Linked DNA regions of Drosophila melanogaster. The protein of the gene in region 4 interacts with the protein of the main gene of each other region in a pairwise test. Each region holds a gene or a part of one and is shown on either strand. Other genes may lie near its edges.

Evidence for each region.
Region 1: the proteins of CG3598 (region 4) and nmd interact in a two-hybrid assay, tested with the Drosophila melanogaster proteins (one large-scale study listed by BioGRID).
Region 2: the proteins of CG3598 (region 4) and CG31523 interact in a two-hybrid assay, tested with the Drosophila melanogaster proteins (one large-scale study listed by BioGRID).
Region 3: the proteins of CG3598 (region 4) and Targ interact in a two-hybrid assay, tested with the Drosophila melanogaster proteins (one large-scale study listed by BioGRID).

The regions. Positions count from the first base shown.
Region 1 is NT_033779.5:10,298,915-10,306,722, reverse strand, and holds nmd (no mitochondrial derivative), read left to right. Parts: upstream 1-2,775; 5' UTR 2,776-2,886; coding exon 2,887-3,068; intron 3,069-3,124; coding exon 3,125-4,052; 3' UTR 4,053-4,550; downstream 4,551-7,808. Other genes in the region: CG5390 (uncharacterized protein), read left to right, coding at 1,218-1,574, 1,641-1,896, 1,954-2,561; CG13138 (uncharacterized protein), read left to right, coding at 4,768-4,779, 4,864-6,501; CYLD (cylindromatosis), read left to right, coding at 7,519-7,679, 7,734-7,808.
Region 2 is NT_033777.3:4,473,477-4,482,090, forward strand, and holds the start of CG31523 (uncharacterized protein), read right to left. Parts: upstream 5,732-8,614; 5' UTR 5,586-5,731; exon of another isoform or gene 5,157-5,585; intron 1,951-5,156; exon of another isoform or gene 1,776-1,950; intron 1-1,775. Other genes in the region: sac (sterile affecting ciliogenesis), read left to right, coding at 7,343-8,614.
Region 3 is NT_033778.4:14,664,074-14,673,722, forward strand, and holds Targ (tarag), read left to right. Parts: upstream 1-4,317; 5' UTR 4,318-4,342; coding exon 4,343-4,365; intron 4,366-4,374; exon of another isoform or gene 4,375-4,425; coding exon 4,426-5,027; intron 5,028-5,194; coding exon 5,195-5,445; coding exon of another isoform or gene 5,446-5,449; intron 5,450-5,513; coding exon 5,514-5,850; intron 5,851-5,900; coding exon 5,901-6,517; intron 6,518-6,578; coding exon 6,579-7,071; intron 7,072-7,135; coding exon 7,136-7,392; 3' UTR 7,393-7,602; downstream 7,603-9,649. Other genes in the region: CG12861 (uncharacterized protein), read right to left, coding at 456-1,175; CG12860 (uncharacterized protein), read right to left, coding at 1,668-2,618; mspo (M-spondin), read right to left, coding at 8,294-8,312, 8,581-9,003.
Region 4 is NC_004354.4:2,933,688-2,940,790, reverse strand, and holds CG3598 (uncharacterized protein), read right to left. Parts: upstream 3,765-7,103; 5' UTR 3,664-3,764; coding exon 2,845-3,663; 3' UTR 2,718-2,844; downstream 1-2,717. Other genes in the region: CG14420 (uncharacterized protein), read right to left, coding at 325-1,136, 1,239-1,308; CG3592 (uncharacterized protein), read right to left, coding at 4,872-5,621.

The DNA.
Region 1 (7,808 bases), on a different chromosome or scaffold from region 4:
ATGTTTATTATCTATAAATTTATAAAATAAAATAAAACTTTGAACTGGTTTTCCGCTGTGTAATACGTAAGCTGGGAACTTCAATTGGAACCAGCTTTCAAAGCTTCTCGTCAGAAGATCATCGGCTGAGACTTAAGATTGAATAAGAAATCAATTCAGTTGAGTGTTTTCTTCATTGCTCAGCGAACGTTGCGCTACTTTGATAAATTAAGTAAGTCTTACTAATAGAGTACACTTTATACTAAATAAAATTGGACTCAAATTCAATTTATTGAAAATGTGTAGTTCAGTTATGTGGATATCTGATAGAGTTTAATCTTTTTGGTGGTTTCTATGTCTTGTAACATCTACAATACATTTTTCATCCATATATGTATGTACATGTGTATATACATATTTTAATCAATCAAAAAGATCTTAAAGTTCAATGAATAAAGTGTACAAAATATCACCGCCTCACGTACTTTTATGAGCACAAATCAGCGGCAATGGGAATACATTTATATATGTTAATGAAGAAGAATTGTATAATGCTAAGTTTACTCGAAACTAAAACCAGTTTTTGCCCTATTTTATTTGCAAGGAACATATTGTTAGCAAAAATGGTGAACCTTTGTGTGTAAATGGCAATTAATTAGTGTGTTATAACTTATTATTAACTCTTGCGAAAAATGGAGGGATTGCGCTTACACATAAGAAACTATTTTTGTGTTTTAAAGTAATTATACATGCTTTGTTTTTATTGACAGCGAAAATTGACCCACCGCAATACATTAGCATTTCTTATCGCCAAAAGTCATATTTAAACAAAAAAGCAATCAGGATTGATAATGAGGCGATCTAAAAGAAACAATACGTACATATGTATATATTTGCTCGGAATTTTAGTATTCAAAAAAGAAAGCAAAGCCTCACTGATAAGACAATACATTCTAGAGTTAATTAGGTTAATTGTTCGCCGCATAAACATAAACGTATTCGTATCCGCGTCTCCCTTCCATTAAAATGTGTCACTCTGTTTTGGGGGAATCACATTCACCTTTTATCCGGTTTAAGTGCGATATTCCAGCAATAACAATCATTATTATATTACCAATACTCGAGCTTTACTCACTTTGCTTACCTTCATCTTCATCTCTTTCCTCGAATAAGTGAGCTTTCTGACCTTAATTATGTAAATATGTAAAGAGCATGATTTAATTTTGCTTTCCAGGAATATGATATTACTAAATTGCCTAGTAATATGCCTGTGCATATTTTCCTGTGGTGCCCAGGACTCTTCCTTGGACAAATTGATATCGGACATCTTTAAAACGGACGAAACACCCAAACCATCATCCCCTCCCCCGCCAGTGGTGAACCCCAAGGATTCGTCCGGTAGCACGGGATCCGAAAACGGAGGATCGAGTTCAACGCAGTACCAGTCCTGTGGCGATCAAAAGGAGTGTGTTCCTCGCTGGTTGTGCGCCAATGATACGATTAACACCAGTGGCGATGGTATCATTGACATTCGACTTGGTACGGACGCCGAATGCAAGAACTATTTGGATCTTTGCTGTGATCTGCCCAACAAGGTAACACATACATAAATACCAATAAGCTTTGATTACTTAAATTAAACTATAATTTTATTTGTTAAGAGAAAAGATCCGATTTTCGAGTTTAAGCCTGATCATCCCGAGGGCTGCGGTTACCAAAATCCCAACGGCGTTGGCTTTAAGATCACTGGAGCTGTCAACCAGGAGGCCGAATTCGGCGAATTCCCCTGGATGCTGGCCATTCTCCGGGAAGAAGGCAACCTTAACCTGTACGAATGTGGAGGAGCATTGATAGCTCCCAATGTGGTTCTGACCGCGGCGCATTGCGTTCACAACAAACAGCCCAGTAGCATTGTTGGTAAGTGTACATGCCATCTATGCCATCTATGAGATCTAATTATGAACTGGCATTTAGTGAGAGCTGGCGAATGGGATACGCAAACGCAGACTGAGATCAGAAGGCACGAAGACCGATATGTCAAGGAAATAATCTACCATGAGCAGTTCAACAAGGGATCGCTCTATAACGATGTGGCTGTCATGCTGTTGGAAAGTCCATTCACCCTCCAGGAGAACATTCAGACCGTTTGCCTGCCCAATGTGGGTGATAAATTCGATTTCGATCGCTGCTATGCCACCGGCTGGGGCAAGAACAAGTTCGGCAAGGATGGGGAATATCAGGTTATCCTGAAGAAGGTCGACATGCCCGTGGTGCCCGAGCAGCAGTGCGAGACGAATCTGCGCGAAACTCGACTCGGCAGGCATTTCATTCTGCACGACAGCTTCATTTGCGCCGGCGGTGAGAAGGACAAGGACACCTGCAAGGGTGATGGTGGCTCCCCACTGGTGTGTCCAATTGCTGGCCAGAAGAACCGCTTCAAGTCCGCCGGCATTGTTGCCTGGGGCATCGGATGCGGCGAGGTGAACATTCCCGGAGTGTACGCCAGCGTGGCCAAGCTTCGTCCGTGGATCGACGCCAAGTTGAAGATTTGGAGTATTGACCCCAGGCACTATACACCCTAAGAGCAAAATTGTCACTTGAATTTGTGGGTTTTAATCTTCATGCTTCACAATGCTCTCACTTAATATATGCCCAATATGTTAATACTCAAAATTAAAAAAAAAAAAAATCTTTTTATTTTAAGCTGAAAAAATATTTTCGGAACAGTGGAAAAGGAATAGGCTAACAAAAATTGAATTCAGTTGGCAGCAATTTTGAGCTTATCGATGTCAATTTCAGTCGGAGCACCTGGTCACACTGTCGTCGGTGTGCATGGGGAATAAGAACAAGAAAGATTAGATTCGTGCAGGCCAACGTATTTGCTCTAAATAGAATATCTGCAGAAACATGGACAACTTCGGACTGGGCGGATCGGATCTAAGCAAGGGGCAGATATTCCAGGTACTGGTTCGCCTGTCTGTGGCCTCGCTGATCACATATTATTCGGTGAAATGGATGATGAACCAGATGGATCCGACCAGTAAAAACAAGAAAAAGGCCAAAGTTCTGGCTGAGGAGCAGCTTAAGAGGTTTATATTAGACTCATATAGCATATATTGTACATGTGTAAACCTTTTCCATGCAGGCTAGCCGAGCAGGAGGGCTTCAAGCTAAGAGGGCAAGAGTTTAGCGACTACGAGCTTATGATTGCGTCACATCTTGTTGTTCCCGCCGACATAACAGTCAGTTGGGCCGATATCGCCGGTCTGGATTCAGTCATTCAGGAGCTCCGGGAATCGGTGGTGCTGCCAATCCAGCACAAGGATCTCTTCAAGCATTCGAAGCTGTGGCAGGCGCCCAAAGGCGTCCTGCTCCATGGACCACCGGGCTGTGGAAAGACGCTGATAGCGAAGGCGACGGCAAAAGAGGCGGGAATGCGCTTTATCAACTTGGACGTCGCCATTCTTACCGACAAGTGGTACGGGGAATCCCAGAAATTGACTTCTGCTGTCTTCTCGCTTGCATCGCGAATCGAGCCATGCATTATTTTTATTGACGAAATAGACTCATTTTTGCGATCTCGAAACATGAACGACCACGAGGCTACCGCCATGATGAAGACCCAGTTTATGATGCTGTGGGATGGCCTCAGCACGAACGCCAACTCGACGGTGATTGTGATGGGTGCCACGAACAGGCCGCAGGATTTAGACAAGGCCATTGTGCGCCGCATGCCAGCCCAATTCCACATTGGTCTGCCCTCGGAGACCCAACGAAAAGACATCCTGAAGCTGATCCTCCAATCGGAGGAAGTAAGTCAGGATGTCGACTTGAATCGCTTGTCCAAGCTCACAAATGGCTTCTCGGGCTCAGACCTGCGGGAAATGTGCCGGAATGCTTCAGTTTACCGAATGAGGCAGCTCATCACGTCCAGAGATCCGTCAGCTACAGCGCTTGATCGCAACAACGTCCGCATCACCATGGACGATTTGCTGGGCTCGCACTTAAAAATTAAGGAATCAAAGATGCACACGAGCAGCCTATTCTTAGAGAATAGAATCGAATTAGATTAAGCTGACCATTGTTTATTCAAGCTCCCGATATATCCAACTTAAATTTGTATAATAAACTTTTTATTTGCCTTTCGAGAGGAGCTCCAATGTTATGTGTTAATTAACCCTGTTCTCTGCATTCCAAAATGGGTATCCGGAAAACGTAGTTTTGGTAGTCTTGAAAACAGCAACGGATACTGCAGGAAATTACACAATCCATAGCATTTCCGTAAAGCGGAGCTCAATGCACTTTAATTATTACATTTACGGGCTTCTGTGAAATATTCACCTAGAGAAATTTCAAACATTTATAAAGATATTGCACTTGTACACTTCTTCAAACACACACACAACTTGCGTCACGCGACCGTGGGCTTTCAATCGTAAAAAAAAATATAAGTAAACTTGTGCAGTTTTATTCTCTTTTAAAAAGGTCGTTTATTTCTGACGGCATTTCAAAGCTACACATTTGTATATCTAATTAAAAATGAATAAAAACATGCATACATTTTAAATAATCAAACCAAAACAAATTAGTTCTTGATGTTTTTGTATAATTTCTTAATTTAAGAAAAATATAGAGTGTACAAACTTCAAGCGAAGAAATTTGCTTCTGCACATTTTAATTATGTTTCGTGCTCATATAAATACTTTCTTCGATTGGCTCAAATCATTTCTGTTGAAGGCGTTGATTAAACCACTTCAAATCCAAGCGAGACTATATACTTAACAAAAAATGAACCCAATGGTAAGCTATATTTCCAATTTGTCTTTTTGATAGGAGATATTTTGTATGTACATACTTCATTTACGCGCATCCTTTCTATTTCAGTTAACTTTGATTCCTGGATACCTATTCATAACCTTAATAATTATTGGAAGTACTGCACACAGTAATTCCTATGCTGTGAATAAAACCAATAGTGTCGAAAGTGCCGAGTGGAGCTATCCTGAATACGGAAAAGGATCTACTCACAATACCGGAAGAAGATCGGAAAAGCTGGATCTGCAACATTATAATCGGGAAACCGAACGCAATGTGACTTTGAAACGCGGTGTGAAAAACTATCAAAAGCAAGGCGATAAAATGACGAGGAATAAACTGAAATATAAGCCATCTGGTGCTCGAAGAAAAAATGTGAGTCCCAATTATGCGGATGAGAGTACGGAAAGTAGGCATTATCATACATTCGAAGAGATCCACGAGCATATCGATGAGGACGATGGTCAATACCAGGCATCCGAACAGGTCGGAACACAAGCGATTCTGCACGAACATGTCGAGCACTCGAGTAAGAAGGATGCGAAGCGGATGAAGGTGAAAATCAAGCATCATCATCACCACCATCATCACAACCACATAAAGGAGCTGATCAAAACAGTACCACAACCGTATCCCGTGGAAAAGGTCGTCCATGTGCCCATTGAGAAAATTGTCGAGAAGATCGTACATGTGCCCAAGCTGGTGAATGTTACAGTTGAGAAAATAGTGCACGTGCCTATCGAAAAGATAGTGGAAAAGGTGATTCACATCCCAAAGCCAGTCCAAGTGCCCAAACCATATGTGGTCGAAAAGATAATTGAGAAAATAGTCCACGTACCGAAACCGTATCCAGTGCTCCGGACTGTTCCGTATCCGGTCGAAATAAAGGTGCCAGTTCATCTCGAGAAGAAGGTACCAGTGCCCTATAAGGTTGAGGTAGAACGAAAGGTTCCCGTTTACATTCGTTCCAGCGAGCCATATAAGTTCGAGTCATCATCACTCTACGAAAGTTATCCACGCGGCGAGGAGTTCAAATTTAACATGGAAATGGATCATCCACCGCCCAGAGAACACGAACCATCCAGCCTACCATCCTCAAACTACTACAACAGGATATACAAATCTAGGGAATTGGATCATCCTCCGAGGATGGAGGACTATCAAAGCTCCGTGCCCACACAGTTAAAGCACGATTACGCAACGAAAACTAATCTCGATCAGCAGTTTAAAAACGAGTACGTGACGAAAAGTAGTATTGATCCTCAATTTAAGCACGATTACGTGACGAAAAGTAGTATTGATCCTCAATTTAAGCACGATTACGTGACGAAAAGTAGTATTGATCCTCAATTTAAGCACGATTACGTAACAAAAAGTAGTTTTGATTCGCAGTATAACCAGGAATACGTACCCAAAACTAGCATTGAATCGACTTCTCCTGGACGGGATGGGGTTTCCCTGAAACTCGTCGGTCCCCCTACTCCTTTCAATATCACGGGAAAGGATTTGGAGACCGCCAACTCTGCTCCAGACTTTGTCAATAGCTCCAACGTAGACCTAAGTCCACAGGAATCGGCTAATGCCTATCGCGGTATGCCATTCTCCATACCATTTCAGTTTGTACAACTCCAACCAATGGCCTTTCAAAGTCCTATACATGTGGAACTGCCAATCCAATCCGCTTCAGCAGAAGGTGCTCAAAAGTGATAATCTAATCAAATGTTTAGCGTAAATAATCCTATTCAGAGAATTATTATATACCTGACAGACTTTTAAAAGACTTTTTCCCCACAATAAAAAAAATGCTAAAAAATAAGTTGCTTAATATAAAATATAATGCATATTAGAATATATAAAATTGTTTATTTTGTTGTTGTTAAAAGTTTATGATAAAATTCATAAGCAATAAAACATACTAAGCCTAACAAGCAACGACAAACAAATCGCAATATACTGTTACATATTCTATATAATAAAACCGTTTTTAAACCGTTATTACTTTGTTTTTTTGACTGTATTGTATTTTTTTGGTTCAAGATTACCCCCAACAATTGTCGATTGCGGTAAAATCGATAACGATATCCAGAATTCATTCCAATCGCATTCTAAAAGACACAAATTTTATAAATACTAAACAAAAATCCAGGATATAAACACCTTTTTATTTGTTAGTTCAATTTATGTGTGTTTGTATTAAAACTCAAACAGGGTTGCGCTAAAAACTTAATTGGTCATTTGGTATTTCAGCGAACAGCAATATTATTAAACCAATGTAGTCGCGATTGTTGTGTGTCATTGTTTTTATCAATTAGGGAAAAGTTGCTAACGAATTGTGTTTGTTATGCATGTATTTCCTGTTACTTGTTCTGTGCAGTCCTCCTTGGCAAATAAATATTTAATGCAAGATTGAAATTAGCGTAAAAACAATGGAATGTTTATTGAACTACTGTTACAGCAACCTGATGTCTCTTACATACTTACGTGCATATGTACATATGTATGTAAGCGACTGCAAACTAAGCAGTTACAAACAGAATCCGTCACATCGAGTATCATTGATTATTTCGTTTAACAGTTTTAACTCGACTGTAGAATACTCTCTGCCAAATATATAGCATGCTCTTTAAAATTTTTCATAAAAAAACACTTATGACCAATACATTTTGTATATCCTTTTTATTTAATTACTAATACAAATGTTATTATAGCCTTTAGTTGGAAATAATGAATTCCAAATCCGATTATGAAGCAGAAAAAGAAAAAAAGCTGACCATAACAAATAGATTCGGGGACTCCCTGGAAAACTATGAACTATCCAACGAGAGCGAGCACAAGACCCATGTATACCCGAAAAAGATTCCTAACAGAAAAAACGGAATTTTAAAGTACGTAGTAAAACTGTTTCAATTCATTTAAAGCTAATAATGAGCGATTTTTAGAAACACCGATGCCAACCATAGTGCCGTCGATAATCAACATCTTGAGGATGTGGATTTGGCAGACATTTTGGGCAC
Region 2 (8,614 bases), on a different chromosome or scaffold from region 4:
ATGCACATATATATATGGTAAGGAGTCAATTGCATACTGCATTCTAAATAATTAAATTGCTGCTTGAGCTGAGTGAGGTGTATCAAATAGTTGTTGACCTCTCACATCTTCAATTTCTATCATTGCGGTTTCTTTGTTTCAAATGCCTCATCGGACCATTACGAGCGATCGAAGTCTCTAGAATGCACAAACATGTAACTTAAACCTGAATATTTTGGCGCGAAACTGCGTATGCAAATATGCAAATAAAGAGCGGACCGAAAAGCAAACGTATTACCTACTAATCGGGTCAAAGTCAGATACTGGTATCGAGGGTTTTGAAGATTACTTGTATTTGTTACAGCAATCAACGTTCAAAAACAACGCAAATTAACCCGCTTACAAAACGGAAATAGCAACACGTAATCCGAAATGGAATTCATGGTCAAGTTGCGTAGTACCGAAGACCCATATCGTGGATAGATCGGCAGACGAAGTGCATCTCCACAGGTCCACAGGAAATTACAAATTAATTATTCAACGACTGTGGTACCTTTGACTTAATAGTAAGTGAATTATGATTGTATATCGCCACTTAAAACGGTATATTTTGGATATCTAAAATCACAAAGTACACAAGATGCTAAACGCACCAACAATTCGGACTACCAGAAGAAAAAAATAAAATTTTGTTGACTCTTTCACCATAATTTTGATGAAAGAACGGTGAATGTTTAAAGACAAATTTAATTAATTTGAACTGATTAATAAGCTGGGGAGGGCAATACTTCCCACAATAATATTTGGAAAGTTGTACTACATTTTTTTTACTACATTTTTGCCTCTCCGAAACAAAACGTATTTTTATGTGCTGAGCAAGCAGTTTCATGTAGAAACTTTAGTCATTCCACTTAGTAAAAATTAAAAATTTCAAAGGAACTAGATAGATAAATATCCTTCACATATAGCATTTCGAAATTCTATTTTTTCAATAGTTTTGGTCAAAAGATTTTTAATCAACAATACATTTTTTATACTTCTTTAAGACACGCATTGACTCGTTGCAAATTTTTCTACTGTAGCGCATATGGTTTCAAAATTGAAGTGTACTGATGCTCTACAAAAGGTATTGTATTTTTTAAAAATAATTAAATATATAAAATATATACAAATAAAATAACTGCTGACGTTCACACGCTGAACATAAAATCTGATTCTTCTGTGAAGATTTTACCAGTCGACATTATTTAATTAAACAAATAATCTTTAGAAAGGGTAAATTTTGTATAATATACTTTCATTGTCAAATGAAAAATCTTTTTTTTTTGACAATTACTTTCTGCGTAACATTCGTTTAGCAATTTTTCGTAGGTTAAGGGTGGACTATATTTGTATTTATATATTTAGAACGTCGAAGGGATTTCTTCGGTATGCCAAAAACTTTTCAAAACTGAATCATCAAGAATTTTGTGAATGTATTTGAAATCGTTTTATATTATCATTTGTCTTGCTTATTTCTATCTGATAGGCGATTAGCTCCCTTATTATTTTTTTCTGTTCTCGTTAAATTTACCAGCTATATATAAAACCTAATCAAAAATATGGGGTTAAAGGGAGAAATGAAGAAAATCGTAACTATAAGTTAGCTGCCTTATAAGCGGTTGGCTGGAGCCAGAAACAGTGCTATCGGCATTAATTAATTGGGGGTTAAAGTCCTTCCATATTGTGATATTGTGCGGAGATAGATTGCGATATCTGTTTCGTTTTGCGAATTTTATAAGTATTTTCTTAGATACCTTAGATACCTGGGTTTTGTTGTTTTGTTTTCTGTTTGTTTTGTATATCGTAATATTGTATTTGCGAAGGTGTTATTATCTTCCGTCCTCGTTGTTAAAAAATAAATATTAATTTATTTAAATGACGAAATTTCGAAAATCGCGGCGATGCTTTTTGAATTGTGTGAGTGCTCGTCTTGAAAATATCGAGTCAGGCCACACAAGACACTTGGGATTCCGATCTCCTCGCAAGCAAATAAAGGCGGCGGCCCTCGATCACTGGCTTGGATCGCCAGAAGCGTGGTCGGATATATTGAAACGAAAGCGCAAGTGAATCGCGCGGACCGCTCCCACCTGACGACCTCAGGTCGGCTGGCCGATTAATGTGTGTGCACTTGTAATTTGTTTGGCTGCTCGGGAAGGTCAGACCCCACGGAAAACCGACCGAGCTGCTGAAACACACGATGAAAGTTTCCATCGCAGGGCCGCACTGCATTAATGGCATTTAAATACATCGATGTGTAATTATGCACATGCATAGTTCCCAAAGCATAGGTTACGGGTGTCAGGAATGGAGGTTTTGTTTATTGTTTTATTGCGACTCTGCCTCGGGCATTCTAAATTGAGGAGAAGCCGCTGAGATCGAGGGGTCGACTTACATAACACTGGCGTGGTAAGTTTTCCAAAAATACGTAAAACCCGACAAAAACAATGAAAGAAAAAACAAAAAACAAAAAACGCACAAAGAAAGGCTGGGGAAAATGAGAGAGAGACAACAGCAAGCGACAGAGAAAAACTGTCCGAATCTTTGGGTAAATGAAATTAATGTGCGAAATGTATACGAGTAGGTCCCGTCAATGTCGAAAAAAGAAACGGGAAAGAAAGCCGGCTTCGACTAGCCGAAGTTTGTGTACCCTTGCAGACGGTCAATGGGTATCTATCGGTAATATTGTAATATTAATGATGTTATTTGCTGGAAAGGTGAGTACATGGTACTTATAGCTTTTTACTTCTTTTTAAATAACATATATAGTTACATTTACCAAAAGATATCAAAGTGCTCTTTTATTTCGAAAATTCGTATGCATTGCATCTCTTCTACAATATTTTGTTTAACCATGCAGGATAAAGGCGATTTACCATTTTGAGGTAAATTCTTAGAGCACCATTACTCGTAAAGTATAGCCTAGTAGATTCGTTGGGAAGTATGTATGTAACACTTCTATCGATATGCCAAAATAATATTAAAGATTCTCGCTTAAACATCTACTAGCTGACTAACAGGCAAGGAACTCGACCATACAGTTCTCATTTGGTATTTAAATATAATTCATAAGATATCATTATTAGGCAAAGGCTGTATAAACTAATAACTGTAAAAATAATACTTTTAAAATTAAATACTGGCTGCATTGCCAGACATCACAGTCGCTAGTCAACTTTTCCCTTTGGAATTATAATCCTTATATTGGCGTATTATGATCATTATATATTTCAAGATATAGGTTATATCGACCGCTATATCAAATCTTTTGTTACTTAAGGGCTCTGGAGCCTAAGTATGCCAAAAGCATTTAATAAACTTTTATCATAGACTTGCCTCCTAACCGAACGATAGCTGGATTCGCATTACCATCATGAATTGGATCTGTCCATCTCACCGCCGATAACGGCACATTTGTCTTTATAGCACCGCAACAGGTGGTGAGGCTAGTTCTCTTGACTCTGACGATGCTGTCACTGTCCATCGAATGATTATGCCCACGATGTGTTAACCCCGAATGGTACGAAGATCGTGGCCAAGCATCTCAGTCTCAGACGAGAGTCTCAGGGGCCAGAGAACCCGTACGATGTCATTGTTCTTTTCTTTCTCCATAGGACAAACCGGTTAAAAAACTTTCCTCATAATAGCAGAGCCCAAAAGTGCTTATTAAGCATGCGCTGCCAAAACACATATTAGCGAGCACCTATGTACATATAAACCAGAGGACTAATACATGCGATCTCTATAACCAAGATCTCATGGACTTTGGCCGAATTTTTATGTTGGCCCGAATAATTTCAGATTGCTTGTGGGTGTGACTGATACAGCCAGCCGATTGTATAGCTCCTCTCTTCTGAGAAAATCGAAGCCCGGCAATGAGACACAATCTTGAGATTTGCCGTGTAAACGCGAATGAATATTTGGATTTGATGTGTTTTCTGAGCAATCTAAGCAGATAATGTGTTTACTGAGTCTAAGCCAGTCGCGCCAGCCAAATAACTATACGCGAGGGCCAAGGTGCAAAGCGATCAATTAGCACTTTAGCACTGCATTGTTGCAATCTATTTGCGAAAGCCCTTGACTCTACGTAGCTCCAGGTTCGCTTTTCTGACCACCGGCCAGCGGTAATTGATGCCGCACCACATTCTCCAGGTGATACATACATATGCATACATACATACATACATACACACATACACACATACATAAATTTCTGATCGAAGTATTTAGCGCACTCGTTGGCTGACCCTAAAAACCTGAAAAAATGCGAATGCAACTACATTTCTCGACGTTTCCGCATTCGGCGGACAGGTGAAACTTTTTGATTGACTGACATAGGCGGCACACCACTGCACTCCTTACCCAACAAAGGTACACAGTAGACAATGAAGACAGCGAAATGCGTTCGGCTATTTAATACTATTTAAAGTCAGTTCTCAGGATAAGGAATTAGCTGCTATACCTAAGCTGCTGCTAAAATACTTCTCATACGGAAGAAGTTGTACCACTAAAAAGAAGAAATATTCTATGTATTCGAAGTAGCATAGAAGTACCTACTGCTAATACCCGCATTCCTCAAATAATGAATTTTTTTATCTCGATTGGGAAACAATGGTCAACAATATAATTTCCATTGTTATCAACAAAATTTACTTAATATAAAATTGTATTGAATAAGTGATTCATGAATTACAGTTGTAGACCGAAAGGGTCAATTGTTTTTTACACTTCATAGAACCAGATTAATCCAATAAACAATATTTAATTCATTAAAGTACGAATAGGTTACCAGAGAATCTATGAAAACAAGTCTGGGCAATCCTTTGGAATAATAATTCATCCCTCTCACGAAGGGCACCCACGCCCCTGTGCGCTCTCTCTTAGCCACCGACACGTGTGAGCTCTTTTGCTCTTTTAGTTGGCTGTTGCTTCACGGCGACTCTCTTCGGCATCGCCTACTGACGCTGCCGCTGCGAATGGGCGTGGCGGGAAGCAGAGCAAGAAACAGTGGACTACCGCCACTTTTTTAATTAAACCATGAACAAACAGGCAATGGCGGTGATGACTAATATCACCGAATCGCAAGGCGAGGGTGGGGAGCAGCTGGAAAATGCTTTCGCGGCTGTGGCGATACTCACCTGCGAGGTATGGTGTGGAAGGGGGGGGGGGGGGTCGAGCGGCGATTGGAATGGAAGAGGAATCCCGAGTGCACACACACAAATGCACTTGTGCACGGCCACAAATACACACTCGCGAAGGAGAACGAACGCAAGTGTAAAGGGCCCGCGCTTTTGGGAATTGAACAATCGACTAGTTTCAGCTTGGGCTGGCTGCCGATGCTTTTGATACTGAAACTTCGATACCGCGGGCTGCGATGCCGATGGCTATGGCGATGGCTACAAACAACAGCAACGCCAACAAAAGACACACACAAACACCGCGTTGGATCTCACCGCACATAAAATATATCCGACAACATATCGTAACGGACTTCACCATGCAGAAAATGCGATCTAGCCCAATAAAACTATATGCGCTTCCAAAAAAATATATTAATATCGAATTACTTCTTAGTCAACTAGCCATATCTTTCGGATTTCTTGGGAAACGACGACGCGAGTGAAATCGTTCAGCAACAAAGAGAGCGCGTTTTGCCAGTCGCTTAAATATATTTTTGTACAAAACGGTCTCGCAACTTCGAACATGTTAGATTGGGTTGGCAGCAACTAAGCAGAATGTTGGCACGAGTGTTGCCGTTTTAGCATTTTTAAAGCTCGACTTAGGTTATTTGAAGCCCGCAAGGACTGTGATAGGGATTACAGATTAAATAATATTGTGCGTAAAATCTTTGTGATTTGATAACCTGCATAGAAGGTACCAAGGAAACAGAAAAATAATATGGATCGTCGCGACTATACCCGTATACCCTCAGCCAAATGAAATGCAAAAGCATAAATTGACTGCGAGGGGAATACTTTTCACAGGCCGTTAATATTCTTTGAACTTGTAGTTAACTTTAAATAAAGGTTTCTGTGGCAGGATTGTAATTTTTGGCATGTTTAATTCTACACTAAATTAACTATTTGATTTATTTGATTTCTTTACCAAATAATTTGAGCTAGACATAATCTAGTTCTGGCTGTTCCGTTTCTAGATAATCTAGATCTGGCTATGGAAAATCTAAAAAGGCTGAACTGAGACGAGGCAAAATGATCTTTGTGGATTCCGTTCCGGAAAGAGTGACCGAATTTCGAGAATTCGGTACTTATCGATATTATCGGAACCCATTATTTAGCATTGTCATCATAAAAACGATATTTAGAGAATGTAGAATGTTAAATGTTTTTTAATATTTCTTGTAATCAAAACAAGATCGAGTTCCCCTACTTTAAAAGTCCTGTTACTCAAGTCGTATACTAAGTGCGAATGAGAAATTCCAACATTCTTTTAGCAGATCGAAGGAAATTTAAAAAACAAAATAAACTATTTAAAAAATTTTTCAAAAGCGTGGGAGTTTTGGGCGGTTTGTTGGTGTTATAAGGGACGAAAAACAGACAAAAGTCAGAGGGTTCCTCGACTTTGCGAGCGAGATGTTGCAAAATGGTATATCTATAGAAATTCGCATTACTGCGAGCGAGATGTTGCAAAATGGTATATCTATAGAAATTCGCATTACAATCAAATTACTTTGTAATTGTGACAGTGAAAGTCTCGTGAAGTCTTGCGTGTTAGCGTCGTAGTTTGGGGCGGCTTGTTGGCCTGTTCAAGAATATTATATTTTATAGAGTCGGAAATGCTTCTTTTTACCTTTATCGAATTTAGTAAAACCTTTTACGGCAAAAAAAATAATTCTCATAAAAGTGCGCTAAATAATAAAAAATGAATAAACAACAACGGAAGCTTGAAATTGAAATTAAAGATTGTTCAAAATTAAAAAAATGTAGTAAAAAATGTATACCAAATTAAACGACCAAATTTTACATTCGATTGTTCATATGGCTATTTCGACTCGGTTGTTCATACTGATCAAGAAAGTATAAAGTGAGCTTTATATGGTCGCAAATGCCTCATTCACTGCGATGCAAACACCTTACTGAAGTCAATGTATCCTTTTGGAAATAAAATAGTTTACATATAATTTAATAAAAATATTAAATATTGCTGAGACCGCCATATTCACATTAATTTTATAAAATCGAATTTTTTGGTTTAATTTGACTAAACAGCAGTAATTAATGCTCGGGCTTTGTAACAATCAACAAATACACTGCTTTGAAAGGAACGCCACTTTCTCATTTAAATCCACTTTAACAATATATTTCATATGGATCCGGAGAACTTAGAGGTGGGACAAAATTATGAAGGTTCCCAGGAATTCGATGAGAGCAGCACCAGCTCAATTAGCAACAAGGGCCCGGATGACAGTCAATTCAAGCGTGAGGCTGAGAAAGCTATTTGCATCATGCCGCCCCGACCGGGAACGACTATGATGAACTATCAGGAGCTATATATTCCGCGGAATCAGCTTACTGATGTATATTACCCCATTCAGGAGGCCCAACGATGGCTCACTCTGATGGACAAGATGGGCAAGGCACACCGTTTTCCGCTGCCCACGATCCTGCCGAAAGTGATCCAGACCCGCTACGTGCCAAAGCGGCATCTTCCAAAGGACGTCGAAGTGGATCGGAGGCGTCGTCAGTACCAGAAGATTAACTTGGTGAATGAGCTGGCCAAGGCGGGCCTCACTGACGACGTGCTGCAGCCCACCGAGGAGCAGTATAATGTAATGTCCGAGTTCGCCTTCCCACACAAGTTTCCCCTGAGCTACTTCGACGACAGCAACTTTGACATCAACTCTCCGGCGGCCTGGTTTGAGCTGGGAGTTGTCGGAGATGCGCACTACCCGCTTCCGGCGAAGGCGTACCTGCCTTACAACCAAAGCCTGCTGAACTGCCAGTGGGGCATGGCAGCTGTTACCGCGCACCACGAGGACTCCGACCTCTGGACGCTTCTATCGCTGGAGGACGGATGCACCTACACGGTACCCAAGCTTCAGTTCATGTTCATGGCTGAGGACCCGCACAAGTACATCAAGCGGCTGCAGGCCGCTGTTCACGAGCGGCACAAGGGGGAGCAGCTTATGTTGATGGAGCTGATCGTGGATTGTGTCCTGCACGAGGACATTGAGTCCACCGTGTTTTATAGCTTTAAGCCCATCGAATCGGTCCTGCAGGCGGCTAAGGTGTCTGAGCAGTGCAAAAGACGACTACGCTCCGAGGTGAACTTGGTGTTCGAGCGCCTAATGGCCCTATACGAGCTGGAGCAGTTTATCCTTAAGATGCCCAAGGAATTTCCCCAGTTTCGGAACATCAACCTCAAGGAATTTCTGCCCCGGTCTTTCGCCGTGGACGTCTCCGGGAAGGAGCGTCTTGAACTGCAGGCCCTTGGCATAACCATGCAGGAGAAGCGGTACGACTACCTGAAGGCCAGTCTGTTTTATTGCGTCGGTGGCATCGAGGCCATGGCCGGAGTGGCCATCGAGTGCCAGTACATCGAAACACTTTCGATCTTCATCTGCAGCTTTAGCAAGCCC
Region 3 (9,649 bases), on a different chromosome or scaffold from region 4:
GGAATTGCACAGGAGAGCACTCCAACTAAAGAGCTGCGAAAAGCGGGTGGGGCGGCTAGTGGGAGAACTAGGACAAGGGGCGTGGCAGTGCAGCAAAAGGAACTCGCTGTTTGCCGAGAATTAACCATCAAGGATGCGTGCAAGTCGCGCTCGAGACGAAGACAAAAATCAGATTGGTAATTTGTGAAATCAATTTAATGTCGGTAGCAACAACATCCAAAAGTAATTTAAGACTGGATTCAAGCTATATTTGAAATGGAAATTTTTGAATTTGTCACCTTTTAAAATGGGTAATCAGGATTGGTAAAAGGCGGCAAGGGCTAAAGGGTCAAACTTTTGTAAATGAACCCATAAACAATGAACAGCAATACACGCTAGCCAATTTTGTGACTTCTTCATCATCCAGGTGGGCTTCTTATACCGCCTTGATTTCCAAGCTCTTTCAGGGACCGAAGTTAGTGTGTCTTATGGCGGAAATATGCATACACGTCGCACATGTTAACCTTCTTCTCGCACTCGCATGGTGGGATGGGGTCGAGCAGTTCCTTTTTGCACTCCGAGAAGCTGGGATACTTGGTGCGACGCTTCTTGCAGCAAGTGGGAATTCGACCAGCGTCGCAGGAGGGCGGTATCCGGCCATCGCGGCAACCTGGCGTGGGGATCTTGCAGCATGGCCACTTCCCGATACGCGGCACTTCAATCAGTATCTCGGGCTTTTTCTTCACGTCATCACAGGGCATGGGATCCCAGCGGCACTCGACATCAGAGACCCTCGGACACTCGAACTTACGCCGCGGTCTATTCGGATAGCATTTCCTGGCCTTGACAGCCGCCTTGGGTATCATATAGCACTCGCACCAGGTGCGTTGATATTTGCGCGCGGCCTTGTCGCTCGGAGTATAGTGGTCCAGATCCAATGGCATCTCTGATTCCGCACATGGGTCGTCTATGCACTCCATCTTGGGTAGCGGTAGCACCGGCGGGTGGCACTTCTTATCGTTGCGACTGGCCGCCTTGTAGCACATTTCGTCTAGCCTCTTGAGTTCTTTCAGATGCTCCAAACGCCTGCGACGCAGATTCATCTTCTTCACCGTGTCGTATGTGCGCTTGATCGTCAGCGATCCCAAGCTGTGCTGCATCAACAGCGTTCGTTGCACTGTCTGCAACACCCCCATTCTAACTGAATTTAACTGGAATTTTGAAAGGAAACCAAAACGGAAACCTGGATTTTTGGGGAGGCTAAGGTGTTATGTGTGTTGACCACTCGAACAACTGTTTACGAATGATTCGAAAGTAATCTGAAATTGGCTAGGACAGTTGAAGTTTTGTCTTAAGGCCTACTTGATTCAAAATTTATGATTAGATCTAAGCATATGTAAATAATTAAAAATAAAATATGTGTCGAGTGCCTCAACTATCAGATACCTGTTACTGGCACTGCCAATAGGAGAAGACTCGATCTAAGTAAAGCACCTCTATTTGATAGTCCCACCTAACGGCGTATACAACAGAGACCAAAACCCCCCCATAGACTAAATGCATTAAATGTAAATATTTTGAAAGATTTATTTAACCAAAAATTTCGTATCTTTTATTACACTGTTAATTTTTATCTGCCTATTGTTGAAGCACCATGAATGGGTCCACAAATCCAAAGTGTGCCTCCTTTAACACGATTCATTGCGCGGCTTCAGAGGCTCACAGGGAAGTCGGCGGTTGAGGAGAGCGTGTCGATAGACAAGGCAAAGCGGCGGCACCTCCAGGCAGCGGCACTCGATGGGTCTGCTGGTGTTCAGCTCCTCGTGCTGGCACTCCGAGAAGCTGGGATACTGGCATGCGCGACGCCGGCATCTTGTGTGTCTTCGCACCAGTTTACAATTGTTAATGGCAGCTGCCGGCGGACACTCGCATAGCTTGATCTTGGGACAGGGGCTGGTTTTGGCCTCTTGTTTGCATGGCATGGGATTGACGGTGAAGCAAGGCGCCTTCTTCGGAGCGGAAACGCACTTTTTGGTTAACACGCGGTAAGTGCGCTCAGGAGCAACCTTGCGGCAGCAGCGTTTCTGCTTCCGGAAGAAGCACTCCACCCAGTACTGGTCGAATTCGCGGTCCAGCGATTTGCTGGGCTTGTAGTACTTGTCATCCAAACGTACGGCCAAATCACAGGGATCGGTGCAATCGGGCTCTGGCTTGTAGGGTATGTCGCAACGACCCCATACACCCAGATACTTGGGATGCAGCTCGGAGAGCTCCTTGTCGGTCTTGCACGGTTTTAGCTGCTTGTAGTATTTTGGAGCACGGACAACGGGCGGTTTGCATTCCGGCTTTTTGGCATTCTCGGACTCAAACTTCTTGCACTCCCGCTTATCTTTTTTGTTCTTCGCGCACTTATCACTGACGCCATCCGTATGAGAATGTCTTCGATCCCGGGGGGGCAAACCTACACCCTTGGGTGGGCTCTGCTCGCACTTCCTGGATTTCTTATTGGCGCACCTATCGTCCGAGTGGGCAAAGCGTCGGTCGACCTGTGACAGAGCCAGAAATTGTGACTTCACTAGTCCCTTCACCTCATTAAGAAGCTGCGGGCGAAGTATTGATGAACTTTTGGCCAGAAACATAACTAAACGGAGGTTTTGGATTGGAACCGGTGCTGTGGCAGGTTGAGAGACACGAAATTTTGGTCTGTACAGGCGAACGCTCTGCTTTGATCTGGCTAACACCAAGGTGCTGAACCAATAGTTGGCAAGAAATCTAGTCCAAGGCCGCCATGATGGGATCTATTTTATTTACATTTCAACAGCTACTTCTCTATGGATTCCAGATTTAAGTGTGTAATTCCTCGAATACTGTCGCGAATTGAGCCTTTTCCGGGCCACGGACCAAATGGGTTTTCCTTGTTTGTTCTGCAGTTAATTGCGAATGGATTCGATGCCAGCGAATTTGCAATGTCCAGCTGCCTTGATTTGCAGGCAAATAACAATAAAGAAAAAATAGGCAACGCAACCTTCACTTTACGAATTTTTGCCCCAGCTTGTTTGCAAGTTAAATGCAAACAGAGTGCAGCCAGCCAAACGACAAAGCCCAACAAAAAAAAAAAAAAATAAAACAGAACGAAAAATATACATACAAAGCTGACCCCCTGCGAAAAAAAAAACAACAGAAGTCCACTAGAATAAGTATACGCCGCGTTGGTCGCCGCTCGCTGCTTGCTGTTCTCGGGGCAGTTTTCGCTTTTACGCCGCTATTTTCATTGGAGTCACTGCCGTCCGAGAGTGGCCATGCATGAGGGCTCCCATAAAATTGGGTCAATTGCTGTTAACAATTTGGCAGCGCAATCTTTTGGCCGTTTCGATTTCAAGGCGCTCAGGGGAAAAAAAATCGAAAAATAGGAAAACACAACGTGGGCCATAAAAAACGAGCACGTACGAGCGAACCTTTTGGAAAAAAACAATTTCCGCATAGAGTTGTTGGCCAGGAAAAATAGCCGCTGCAATCGGTGCTCCCCCGCGGGAGAACAGGAAAAATCCAGGGGGGGGGGAAGGTGTAGATGAAGCTGAAGTGGCTGGTCGAAAAGTTTGCTGGCCTTTACGCTAATTAATTAGTGCACTTTGTTTGTAATTCATTTTGCAAAAGCAGGGCTGGCTTAGTTAAAGTTTCCAGGGGCGAGGTTTGTTTCATAAAGCATGGACCGACTGCCTCCAATTCAAGAGCCCGGGCATCACTTTCCATTTAATCAACTGGGGAAACAGTCGACCCCAATACTTCAGCTCTTGTTGCCTTTGAGTGACTGCCAATGAAGTTACTGCCCCTAAAGCTGAGATGCACTTTAGCCGCTCCACTCCAATCGCTCCGCTCTCCGTGCAAAACTCAGACGACTAAGGAATGATTTCATTTACTTACAATCAATGAAATTGCACTGATGCAATTTTGTTTCGGCCCCAAAATAAACAGGCAAGCGGGTGGAACGGAGCTGGGATCGGGTTGTGGCAATAGGGATTCGCCAGGCAAAAGAAGATGGCGATGGCGAGGCGATGGCTAAAAAGTAACAGTTGCAGTGGGGCAATTGCGGAGGAGGAGCAACTGGGGGTCACCAACAAGCAACTACCAACCAACTCCGTTTGTCACGCTCGCCTGGCAGCCATGACAGCATTTGGTAGCCAGGAGCAGCTAATGTCTGGCGACAGTTCCCGAATCCCACGAATCCCCATGAATTCCCGTTCCTGTTGCTGGGGCTTCTCATCTTGCAGCCAGACACGTAGCCAGCCACTGTGCATTGGGTTCGGGTCGAGACGCAGAGAGATTTGTGAAAGATGTCAGGAACACTCTGCGACAGAGTCGAAAAATGAGCAGGAATCGTAGGCGAAGGTGACTGAGTCTGTTCGCCCAGCAAAGCACTCAACTCGACCAAATCCCTCTGTTTTTCAGCTTCCCCAGCAGCCAATATGAAGATAAGACCGCCGCTGCACAGCCAAGTGGAAGTAGCTTGAGATCCCAATCTCTGTCCAGGCTGGACATCTCGGTTCAAAACTCATCCATCTATTACAATGATACGCGAAACACGCGACCACAAATGGTCAGTGTGGCCGTCGGCACAGTTTCAACGGATATCCTGAATGGGCGCACATCATTCTTGTCCCTTAGTCAGTCTCACGGGAGTGAAGTGGATTTGCCTTCGTTCTACGAAAGCTTTAATCCAACTTTTCTTCCCAAGCTGCCTATCAGAAGATTTCCCCATATGCTTGTGGGGGCATCAAATGAGCCTGAGATTTCGAAAAACCAGCCAGCAATTCCACCATCTAGGCCAATTGAGCCAATATCTGAGGTGCCGTTTGTGGAACCGGCCTTTGAGAAAAAATACTCTAGGACCCGTGGATTTAGCAAGGAATTGTCCACACACAGGGATAATGAGAATGAATATATCGAGAGCACAGATGAGGTGTCTCAGATGTTGAGCTTTACTAGCTATACGGATGAATATGATAGGGCAGAACCACTCATTACCAAAACGCAAAAGTTTTATAAAAAGAGTAAGTTATCATAGCGCTGCCTTCCTTTTTACAAAAATGTTTTTTTTTTTATTTTTATTTTATTGTCATGCAATTGAATTTTGTCTAAGCTATTTTTGGCCATTTGCTTGAAATTGAGGAACCTACCAAATGCATTTCTTGTAGCTAAAACTGTAGCCTTCTTACAGGATCCCCCTTGATTCCCAAATACGATTCCGAGGATTCATATGTGGTCCCTAAGGAAACCGATCAACAGGAATCGGGTCTCTCGTTCAATGTAACTACAGTACAGTTGGCCGATACCGCATCGCCGGAATCTTTCAGCGAATACGACGGAAATCGAACGCGCAAGCAATCGTTCGACATGGAAAGTAAAAATTCGAAGGAGTCCTTTGACTTTAGCCGTGGTGGAAGACGACTTGGCTCCGGTATGGTTTTTGTAAGTGAGTGAATAGCATTCTTGTGGTGGTGAATTGAGAAACGAATGACGACTCTTGTCATCCACAGATCTATATGGTGATACCACCGGACGGCGGATTCGGTTGGGTAATCATGGTGCTGTCCTTCCTCGCCCAGCTGATAATCGATGGTTTAATTTTTACCATTGGGGTCTTATTGCCATCCATTGCCCAGGATCTGGATGTCTCCATATCGTCGGTATCGTTTGTGGCCAGTGTCCAGATTGGTTGCTACTTCACTAGCGGAGCGTTTTCTGCTGTCCTGATAAATCGTTTTGGTTTCCGAAAGGTAGCCATCGCTGGGGTCCTGTGTTCCGCAGTTTCAATACTGGCGTCCAGTTGGAGCGTCAGCTTGACCATGCTGATCTTCTTTTACAGCGTCCTTGGTAGGTTGATTCTAGATTGCTGTACGATATTCGATGAATAATAGTACTAGCCTGCGCAGGTGGTATTACGTTGAGCATGATCTGGGCAAGTTCGCAGCTGATTGTTGGCTACTACTTTGAGCGGTACCGTCCGATGGCCAATGGATTTTCCTGCAGCGGTGGCGGTGCGGGCATAGTACTCTTCACGTTCCTCAACAGCTGGCTGGTGCCAATCATCGGATGGAGGAACATGCTGCGGACGCAGGCGGGGCTGATAATGTTGATCCTGTTGATGGTGGTCGCCTATGTGGAGGTGGCTCCCACCCAGGTGGGCATGTACCATTTACCCGGTTCTTCGGATACCAGTTCGGATGAGTATTACGGCAACTTCTACGTGCATGACTATTTACGTCAATCCGCGATGACTGCTAAAAGCCGGAGTATCCTAAGTACATATGAGCCACGCCCAAAAAAGAAAGGATGCGCCAAGTTCTGCCCCTCCTGTTCGAACTGTTGTTGGAGGCGGCGGAAGAAGTCGCAAAATGCTGATGAGCAGAATCTGCTCATCCGCCCGGCGCCCCTGGAGCGGGAGGATCTCTTCTATACGGGTCCTGCCGAATACGAAAAGCCGCACAGCAAGGAGAACGTCGACGGCAAGGAGTTCCTACTAATGGGATCGGATAAGAACGTAAGTGTTGTATTAAGAATAAATTCGCTTCAACTTAAGAACACCACCAACTTTCACTTAGACCCAGCAAGTGAACTATGGCATCAAGAACATTCGTGTGGATGATGAACCCGATAGGATTTCTAGAGTTCATAGGGAACGAAGATGGTCAAACGAGAATCAGAAAAAGCAAAATTCCTGTAGGAATAGCCGGTTTATGCTCACTGTGCTCAAACTATTCGACTACCGCCTGCTGAAACAGTTTGAGTTCAAGATTCTGGTGGCGTCCGCCTTTCTGTTCCCGATGGGCTTTAATATACCCTTTGTTTACTCGTCTGCACGAACCACGATCCCCGTCGAATATGCCCGTATGATCGGCCCCATTATCGGAATTAGTAATCTTGTGATGAGAAACATCCTTGGCATCCTCGCTTACAAAAGGCGTAGTTGGACCCTCGGACTTTGTGGTTGTGGTCTAATTTTCGGTGGTGTTTCCGTTTTGATTAGCGCCTTCTATGGAGAGAACTTGATTTGGTTCCAGTTTCTGTATGGCTTCTCCTATGCTGTAGCGCCTGGTGCGTACATTTACTTACCTTACTTAAGTTTACAATATTACCCTCTCTCATTTCCATGGAATAGCTGTTTATTCCACACTGAGAGGTTTGATATACGTGAAATACCTGGGACTTTCAAAACTGACCAACGCTTTTGGGATTACCTCATTGGCCATGGGAATGGGCGCCTTTATTGGGACTACAATTGCTGGTAAATTGATAGGCATCACGGGAAACTATTCTGCTGCCTTTTGCTTTGCGGGATTATGTCTCATAGTGTCCGGATTTCTGAAGCTTCTGCTGCCCTTGCTTATTAAATGTCGCAACAGGATGGCCCAATGAGGAATTGGACTATTGGAATTGCAATATTTATTGGTTCTCCTGCTTGGAACTTGGGATTGTCTTACAACTAATAGCTTAGGCATTTTTATGACTTTTTTTTACTGGTCCTCGTTCCAAATTCTGAGTAAATGTTTGTATATCCATGTAATTGTTAATTGACCGATGTCATTAACTATTACTTCCTCCTTATTACAGATTTATTTTCAATATAATTTCAATTCAAGTGAGTTCTTTTTGGGGTTGACTTTTATTGCAATCCATTTTAAGTTATTAGTTAGCTTAGTTTACATCTAATATTAGCTTAGTTGCTGAACAACACACTTTGGCTCCACGCTTATAGGTTCAAGTGTGCTGTGTTTGGTTTTTCATTTGGTTTTGTTTCCATTTTTCCTTGTTTGGGTATGCAAATTTTCACGCTTCTTGTTTACTTTGATTTGCTTTCTAAACTTTGTACGTCTACTGTTCAATGTTTTGTTTTTTTTTTCTTCATTTTTTATATTTTATGATGATTTTTTTACATATTATTTAGAGCTAAAGCAACGAAAAAAAAAATATAAATCAATGTGAACACATAAACATAAGAATGTTTGAATCGACATCCGCAGGACGAATGACTCCAATCCTCTGTGTCCTGTGTCTAAATCTTTCTTGTGTTTTTTAATATTGTCAGTAGTCTTCCCCATCGTCGCCTCTAATTTAATCCATTTTTAATTGAAGTCTCTGCCGTCTGCGTTAAAAACAATGTCATTTGATAATGTAAAGTTAAATTAAAATCTCCTTGCGGGATGAACCACACTCCTAACGGCCTGGCTGGTCTTTCTTGTTCACACAGAAAAAGCAATTCTTACGCCTTAAATTAAAATTATATTTATATCGCCTGTGCCTCCGCCAAGTGGATCGTTCATGTGTCGGAATCGGACCTGAAATCGAATCGGACATATATATATTTTAATTGTATATACTTGTGGGGTGAGTCAAAGAACAAAAAAATATAAAAATATCAATCTATTATGGATTTTTTGTGTTATCTATATAAAAACAAAGGACTTCCCCTTTTCGATTGTGTATATAAATTTGATGTGAAATGCGAAATTGAATTAAATTCCAATTTAATTAATATTAATGAATTGAAATTGTTTGCAGTGTAACACTAATTTGATTGAGTTTTCCGCGGCGCGGCACACTTACCAATTAAAATAGGTCTGCGACCCGTGACAGTTGCGCTCGGTGCCGCACCACTTGGACTGCTGGAGCGCCGGGCACTGTCGTCCGCCCCTCTTGCCGTGCTTTATGACCTTGCGGTAGCGATGCATCTCGCCGACGCCGCAACTTTTGCTGCAGGCCGTCCACTCGGACCAGTGGCTCACGCGGCAATCACGACGACGCTGCGCGGAGCTCCGCCTGCGGGTGGCAGCACCACCGCCCACCGCACCACCGGCCTTGCCACCACCAATCGCGGATGGTGTCGGTTTGGAGGCGTTTGCATCGCTGGCATCTGCGGCACGCCGATAGCTGCTGGCGATGCTCTGCAGGATCGCATGCTTGTCGTTCTTCGGCACCACACTGACCACCTGACCAGGTGCCGGCTGCAGGCTGTTGTTGCTGCCATAGCTGCAAGTGAATAATGTGAAAAGGTCTTGTTAGGTCTTGCACGAAACAATTTGAAATAATAAGACAGCCTGTTTTTAAATTCTGCAAATTATACTTATTATACTATAGTTGGCTCGAGCAAATGAATTGATACCATTAGGCACTTAATCCTAAATTTTGTTTATAATTAACATTATATTTTTGTAATCTCCAAATTGCTTAGCCTCACACAGCAATTTCTTTGAAGGGTTTAGATCTGCTATATATATATTCCACCTTCATGATTTGCTCTACCAGAGTAGCTTAACTTGCTGACGCTAAAAGACTGCCACATTACACATACGACCCGTGTGCCTCCGCCTCTTCCATTTTCAAAGGTGTGCTCGCTGGCTGCTCACGTTTGTTATTTCAGAACATCAACTGTGGAAAATTTCAATTTAAATTTGCCTTTTGCCAGCCAGCCTTCGTGCCGTGTTGCTGGCTGACAGACAGTGAGCCCAAAGAGCCCAAAAAGGCCGGAATGCGAAATCGGAGACCCCTATGCCATGGAACCCAGGAGGGTATTTTTTATGTTTCTTTTTTTTTTTCTTCTGGAGGAGGACCCACGCGCGAACCACAATCCCCCGAAGTTCCCATTTTGCAGACTACGTTTGGCTGTGGCGCTGCC
Region 4 (7,103 bases):
CTAATCTAAGTTGGTGTATAAAATCATGGGGATATTTAGAATCTTAGTTATCTCATATGATGACCATGGTTTCATCCATTGTTTTGTCCAATTGTTTGTCATAAAGTCTTTCCATAAATCAAGACTGATCTATAGGTATAGATTACATACAGAATTCCATTTCTTACTGGTTTAGATCTTAATGCTGCAATGATCTAACATTGTAGTTTACCCTTCGCTATTTGTTTTCGTAATAATGAAAAAAAAAAATTTGCTTTTTTTTTGCATACAAGTTCAGTTTATTTCGGGGGTTCTGGGATCGGTTGGGGATCTGGGATCAACTCCTTAGTTGCGACGTCCGCCACGACGACGACGGCGCATGAGGCGCACGAGCCGGCGGCGCTGCTGCTGGCGGTGTCTGCGCTGGCGTTGCTGCTGCTGGCGGCGACGACGGTTCATGTTGTTCCTCCTCTGGCGCTGGCGCTGGGCCTTGGAACGGTTCCTGTTGCGGCGCTGGCGCTGTGAGACGCGCTTACGGCTCTGTTGGCGCTGGCGGCGCAAGCGTTGCTGGCTTCGCTTCTCGGCGGCCCTCTGGCGGCGAAGCAGGGACCTGATCCGCTGGTTGTGCTCACGCTGGAGGCGCTGGATTCGGCGACGGTTGCGCTGTTCCTGCTGGAACTGGCGCCACTGGAGTTCCGAGGGGCGGACCAACGAGCCGGACTCTGAGGACTGCTGCACGGCATTGCTATTGCCACCGGCGGAAGGAGCGGCCACAAAGTAGCTCTCCTCATCGTCGTCATCATCTTCGTCCTCCAGGCTGTCATCACCTTCGTCTTCTTCATCTTCAAACGCCCTGGGCATCTCCTCATCATCTTCCTCAACATCGTCTTGAATTGCGGGGAAGGCACGACCGGTGGTGGTGTCGGAGGTTGTGGGCGTCGTGGTGCTCGTCGAGGTGCCAGTGGACGTTGTTGGTGCAGTCGGCGTGGTCGTCTCCGTAGTGGAGGTGGGCGTGGTGGTGGTAGTGGGGGCAACCGTGGTCGTCGTGGTGGTGCCCTTCAGAGATGTCAGCTTGTTGGCAATCGACGAGGTGAAGCGGGCCTCCATCTGAGCGTCGGAGGCGCGTCCACCCAGGCGGTACACATTGCGGCGTTCGGCTGAGATAAAATATTTTAAAATTATACGAAATATTTAAGGAACATATAAAGAAAGTAGTTGTGACTTGACTGACGACTTTCTGTTAATATTTGAGGACTCACCCAAGGTAGTGGATGGGGCTAAGAGGGCGCAAAGGGCCACAGCCAGACTCAGTTGAAGCAGGCAATGCATTCTGCAGATGGATTCTCCTTATCGGGATAATCGGCTTCCTTGACTGTGGATCGAGGGTTCCTAACTCACTTGTTGTCTTTGAGTTTTCACTCACAACTGACTGACAACTGATGGACTGACCCGGGATTTTATACCCACTTGGAGCTCATACAGCTGATCGATGGCTATCATCCGCCCCGCATCCCCATTTCCTTTCAGTTCCCACTTCTTGGCCAGCTCTATTAGCAAAAGTTCGCCCGGGGTCAAAGTGAACCGGGTCGCGGGTCAGAGGCGTACGAATTTTATGCTAATTTCCCATCTCTTTTGCCAAAACCATTCTTCTATCCATCGCCGAGTAGCCGATGATTGATTGACGTCAAGCCGAGATTGACCCACGGAATCTGGCTTACACAGATGTTCTGGGATGTCAGTTCTCTGCTTGCTTCAGCTCACTCAGTGCTCGGCATTTCCACACCAAAGAATGGAGTACTCAACTGAAGTCTCCAAATTCGTTTCGAAAAAATCAAAACTTAATGAAATCTCAAAATTTATAATTTACAAAGGGTTCGCGATTTATTGCATAGTTCGGAGGCAAATCTTTTCTTGACAACGATTCCAAAATATGTGCTTATCTATTTTTGTATGTTTGCTCTCCCAAAAACAATGACAAAATATAATCAGAATGCGACATCAAATTATTTCAATAAATATATATTTTAATTTTCCATATAACATTTGTATTGTACATACTGTTATTGTGTAATTATTTCGTGACTTTTTAAAACTTTCATTTGATTAATATATATATTTGGATAAGACCAAAAGTATCTTTGGTTCCAATATACGACAATCAAATGAATTTTATCTCTAAACGGTTATTTTTCGGTAGTACCTATTTTGTTGGCCAAACGATTAGCAAAAATAGTTTACTACGAAACTTTTACAGTTCTATAGAGATGTTCTCAAATGAGTTTCTCTACCATTGTTTGTATATATGTGTGTACCATCTGATTTTCGGATCCTTTATCATACAAAATTTGCAGTTATTAATTCATATATCATACTTTTGATAGCCTATGGGCATTAAGTGACTTATAACTAAGGTTGTGTCGAAGTTAAAGGATAAACTGGAATAAAGCTGAACCATGATACAAATAAACTCCATGATAAATGCAAATTTTTCTATCAATGGAGCTAAGCAGTGATCTATTTTGAGGCAAAGCAATCTTATGTATCTTATACACTGCTAGGAAATGGTACACCATATATGATAAATAAATAATAAAGTTATACAAGTAGTATACGATGTTTTACGGCAAAACCTTTAAAATAAGTTTCAACTTAATGATTCAAAACCATAGTCTTTGCATGTTGGTTAATTTCACATCATAATTTCACCACCCATAAAAAATACGAAAAAAAATATTTATAATTTTCATATCACATTTTATTTGTCGCATCGTCATCAAGTGTCTCAAATTTCTTGTCCTGATCGTTAGGGGATCTTAACTATAATACTATATAGAAATGGGGCTAGGACGACCTTCGTTTCGTGTCTCAACCCTGGAATACGACCTGTCCGCGGCGCCTCTGGTTGCCACGCCTACGGTTGCCGCCTTGGGGGCGAATGACGCGTACATTGCGCCTGCGGTTGCCACCCACTCGGCGACGCCTTTGGGCGGGGCGGCGGCGTCGGATATTGTTGTTGTTGATGCCGCGGCGGCGAATGTTCCTGCGTCCGTTGTTCTTGCGGCGACGAACTACCACGCGGTTGGCGCGCTCTTCCTCGATTTCATCAACGGATGAGGCGGATCGCTCCATAAGAGCCACCACCGCGCCATCGGGAATGGCGTCTAGGGCGGCACGAGGCACTAGGAGAGCCGCCTTGCCGGTCTTCTCGTCCAGAACACTCTGACCCTCGATCTCGATAATGCCATCGGGCACCATAATGGCACCAGCCTGATCCCGGTTAACCATCATCTGCTTCTTGGGCAGCTCATCCTGAACGTGATCCTGCTCCTGATCCTGATCATCGTCCTGTTCGTCATCAGCGTGGTTCTGCCTGTAAGCCAGACCGCTGCGGGCAAAGTTCAGGCCCAGCTGATGCTCCAGTTCCTCGTCATCCTCCGTCTCGTCATCGTGCTGGTCCTCATCATGTAGATCATCATCTTCCTCCTCGACAATTTCGAAGCCCTGGACGACGGCGCCGGCGTTGGCCCGACCCTTGGGAATTGACAGGAAGAGGTAGGGATGCTGCTGCGCCCTTTGACCCTGCACCTGATTGCGCCCCTGAACGTGCTGAAGGCGTGGCTCGGCCAAGGCCACGGCCACAAACAGGCACAAGCCCACCAACAAGATAGCACCCAGCTTGGACATCTTGTTTTTTTTTTTTTTTTTTGAAGATTTCTCGACGTAAAGTGCACAGAAATTAAAGATTTACTGCCGACCGGATCCTAATTGTAAGCAAGGCCCAAACAGAACTGTACGATCTGTGGCGGCGGCATTAGGTTTTTATGCGAAAAAGTTCTGGCCAAAAATCCAGAATCCATAATCTAGAACCCATAGAAACCGAGAAGAGAGAGCCCACTCAGGCCACAAGAACATTGGTCATAATTGCGGTCGATGTCGGCATAATTTCAAGTGGCGAAATTTTGTGGAAGAAATGTAGAAAATGGTGAAAAATAGAATTAGAAACGAATGTCAGTGACCCGCCGGTGGGACAAAAGAAAGAGCGCTGAATAAATCAGCAGCCGCCGAATCAAAAAGTCGAAGATCACCAAAAACACCAAAGGCCCAAAAAAAAAAAAAAGCGCCGCGGTCATGCTAATGACAAAACAATCAGAGACACGCACAAATCTCGGCATCCCAAGAGACCGAGAAACCCGAGAAGTCAAGGGCCGATCCGAACCTATGATGGACCTGCTCTCGGAGTCAGCGACGCATGCGAAGTGGTCGTATCCCATCCCCGGCCACCGGTCATATACCCAATGACCAATGTGAATATCGATGAAAGGGGTGTATGGTATAGGGGGCAAATGTGTATTCCAGCATCGCTGATTGATCGAGCCACGTTGGGATGGAATTATGCCTTTGTCCCGTGATTAATATGCCAGCCAAGAGGCTTCTTATGCGTGGAAATGGCCAATTGTACAGGTGAAAGACTGAAGGTTGGCCAATATTTCACATGCGAGCCCTCTGTAATTTTACTGTTTTCTTTAGTCGTGCAATAAATCTACAATTTTTGACACGGAATTTATTATTTCTTAATTAAACAATGTTGAAACTTGTTTAAAATCTTAGGCATACTGCAATATGACCAAATAGCAAGCATAGATATTAAAGTGTTTTTGTTTTCCAAGGGATTTCTCAGTTGAAAGTCAGAAAGTATGCTAATGTTTCTTTCGAAATTGATTAACAAACTTCACTTGATCTTCCAAATATTTGCTGTCATGCTGAATAGAATTCCTATAAATGTAATTTTTGTGTGATTTACTTTTTTATATGGTAGGGCTTAGAAAATATAAACATTTTGCAATTGCCTTCAGCACTTCAATTTAATTATTCACAATGCTTGGTCATAAAATTTAATTGTGAAGGTGATCAATTTTCAATCCGATGGCTTTGAACCAGCTGTTGGGTAGCAAATGGACAATGTCTCTACAGAGGCAGAGGAACTCGTAGCTAACCACTGAAATGGTGGCGGCCAGCGTGGAGATCCTGAGCCTTTTAATTTTCCAACTACTCCACTCCCGTCGTGCGAATCCCAAATTGAGGGCGAACCACTGACTGCACGAGAGGAGCACAAAGCCACACAAGCCCATCAATCGGTGGATGACGTGCAGAGCCAGGTGGGTGAAGCACACCAGGGCGAAACCACTGGCCACGGCCCCAGCGATAAGCAGGAATCCCAAAAGGCCACACAATCCATGTTTGGAATTAAAGTGCGGCTCATGTATCTTGCTCTTGAAGATACTCTTCGCGAATATCCCCACCAGTCCCAGCCAAAGTCCCACCATTCCCAATACCATGTGCAGAAGGTTGAGCCGGTTTTCGGAGATGAAGTCTCCTAACCACCAGGAGTGGCATACCAACAGAGATTCACCCACGCATAGAAACAGTCCCAAAATGGCGTATAGGGCATGCTGGCCGCTGCTGTGGTCATCCAAACCCGAGGTCTTTTTGACCATCACCACGGTTATTACGATCAGCAGGATGTGGGCCAAAAGCTCCAGAATGATCCTGTAGAGGTTCACCTCGAAAACGGCTACCAAAAGTGGCCATGCGAACTCATAGAAAACCAATTTTGCAGTGGTTGCGTTCTCCCCTTGACTCATTTCCAGATTTGAGTTTTTTTTTTTTTACCTCACAGCTTTTAGATATAAAAGTGATATTGCAGTCATGGCCATTCTGACTAATTTAAACTAATTATTATTTGCAAATAGTTTGGATAATAATATGAGTGTTCAAATGCAATATTTGCCTCGGTCCTTTAACCATTTTTTATAGCTGCCCACTGGAAACTGGAATATATTTACCAAAGTCAATTCTATATTCTTAAATTTCTATTCATTTCGCTTTTTATTAATTTTCAACAGGTTGAAATTCATCGGCAAAAATTTAAAAAGATCAAAGAAGTATTTTTAGAAAATAGAATAGTTTATTCCCTCCAGCAATTTAGGAACTGTGCCTTTAATATATACCGATATTATCTCATTTCATAAATATTCATAGTGAAATATAATTTCCAAAATGTTAGATCATTTTGTAATGCCTAAAAAAGACTTTTAACTTTCCAAGTTCGAAGAGTACAGAGTTTAGTAACTGTTTTTTTTTTTTTAATCTAGATCTGGAAATTGGTTTCAAAGTTTGTGGGAACGCATAAATTAATTTTTGTTTTTGTGGTCTTCAATTTTTAACTCTTACTAACTGTTGGGCCAAATTGGGTCATCCAAAAATTAGCATATATGTATGTTGTATATAAATTCGCTAAACGGTCTTAAATATATTTCATAAATCCGCTAATTTGAAATCGATTTTCTCCCCCCAAAAAAATGAAATCCACAAGCACTTGGGTCAATTTTATGCAAACTTATTTTATTCAAGACATTCAAGAAGTCACAGTAAAATCCGCTTGGCAACAGGCTGCGGAAACTGCTGCGAAAAATTTCTAAAATAAAAGAAACGCAAACTTAATTTCCATAAGAATGTGCCGCAGGAGAAGTTCAACGGGGTCAGGCCTCAAAGATTCATATTCAAACGAGGCAACGGCACAAAGAAAGCTGCTGTCCAGTTTTGGTTTTTCAGTTTTTGTCCAACTCCGGCAGCTGGCTAATAAATTGGCCTAAGTCCGAATTATGGGCTGGGCCCAATTGAGTTGAAAGTTCATTGCCCGTTCTTTGGCTCTTCTCAGGCTTTAATTATATGGCCAAAACCGATTCGGCAGGTGCTGACCTTTGCCTGGGGCGGGGGGGAATTTATGACCAAATATCTGCACACACGCCTAAATTGAAGAATACAAATCCAAAATACGAATCTTTCTTCGGGCTTTTCTGCCTGGCAGCATCCAGCTTCTTTAGCCAGCTTTTTGGCCACTTGCCTGAGCGTTAACCCCGGCCTATTGTCGTTGGAAACAATTAACGATCGCCTGCCTGAATAATGCTGGAATAATGTTGTCAACTGGCCAGCTGAAGTGCTCGCATGTTGGCCTAATAGTGTCCGCTCTTTTTTTTCGGGATGATTATGCAAATTTCCGCCTTGTGGCTTGGGGGCCAAAATCGAGCCAAATGTGTTGGCAGCTTCTCATCTCATCCATCTGG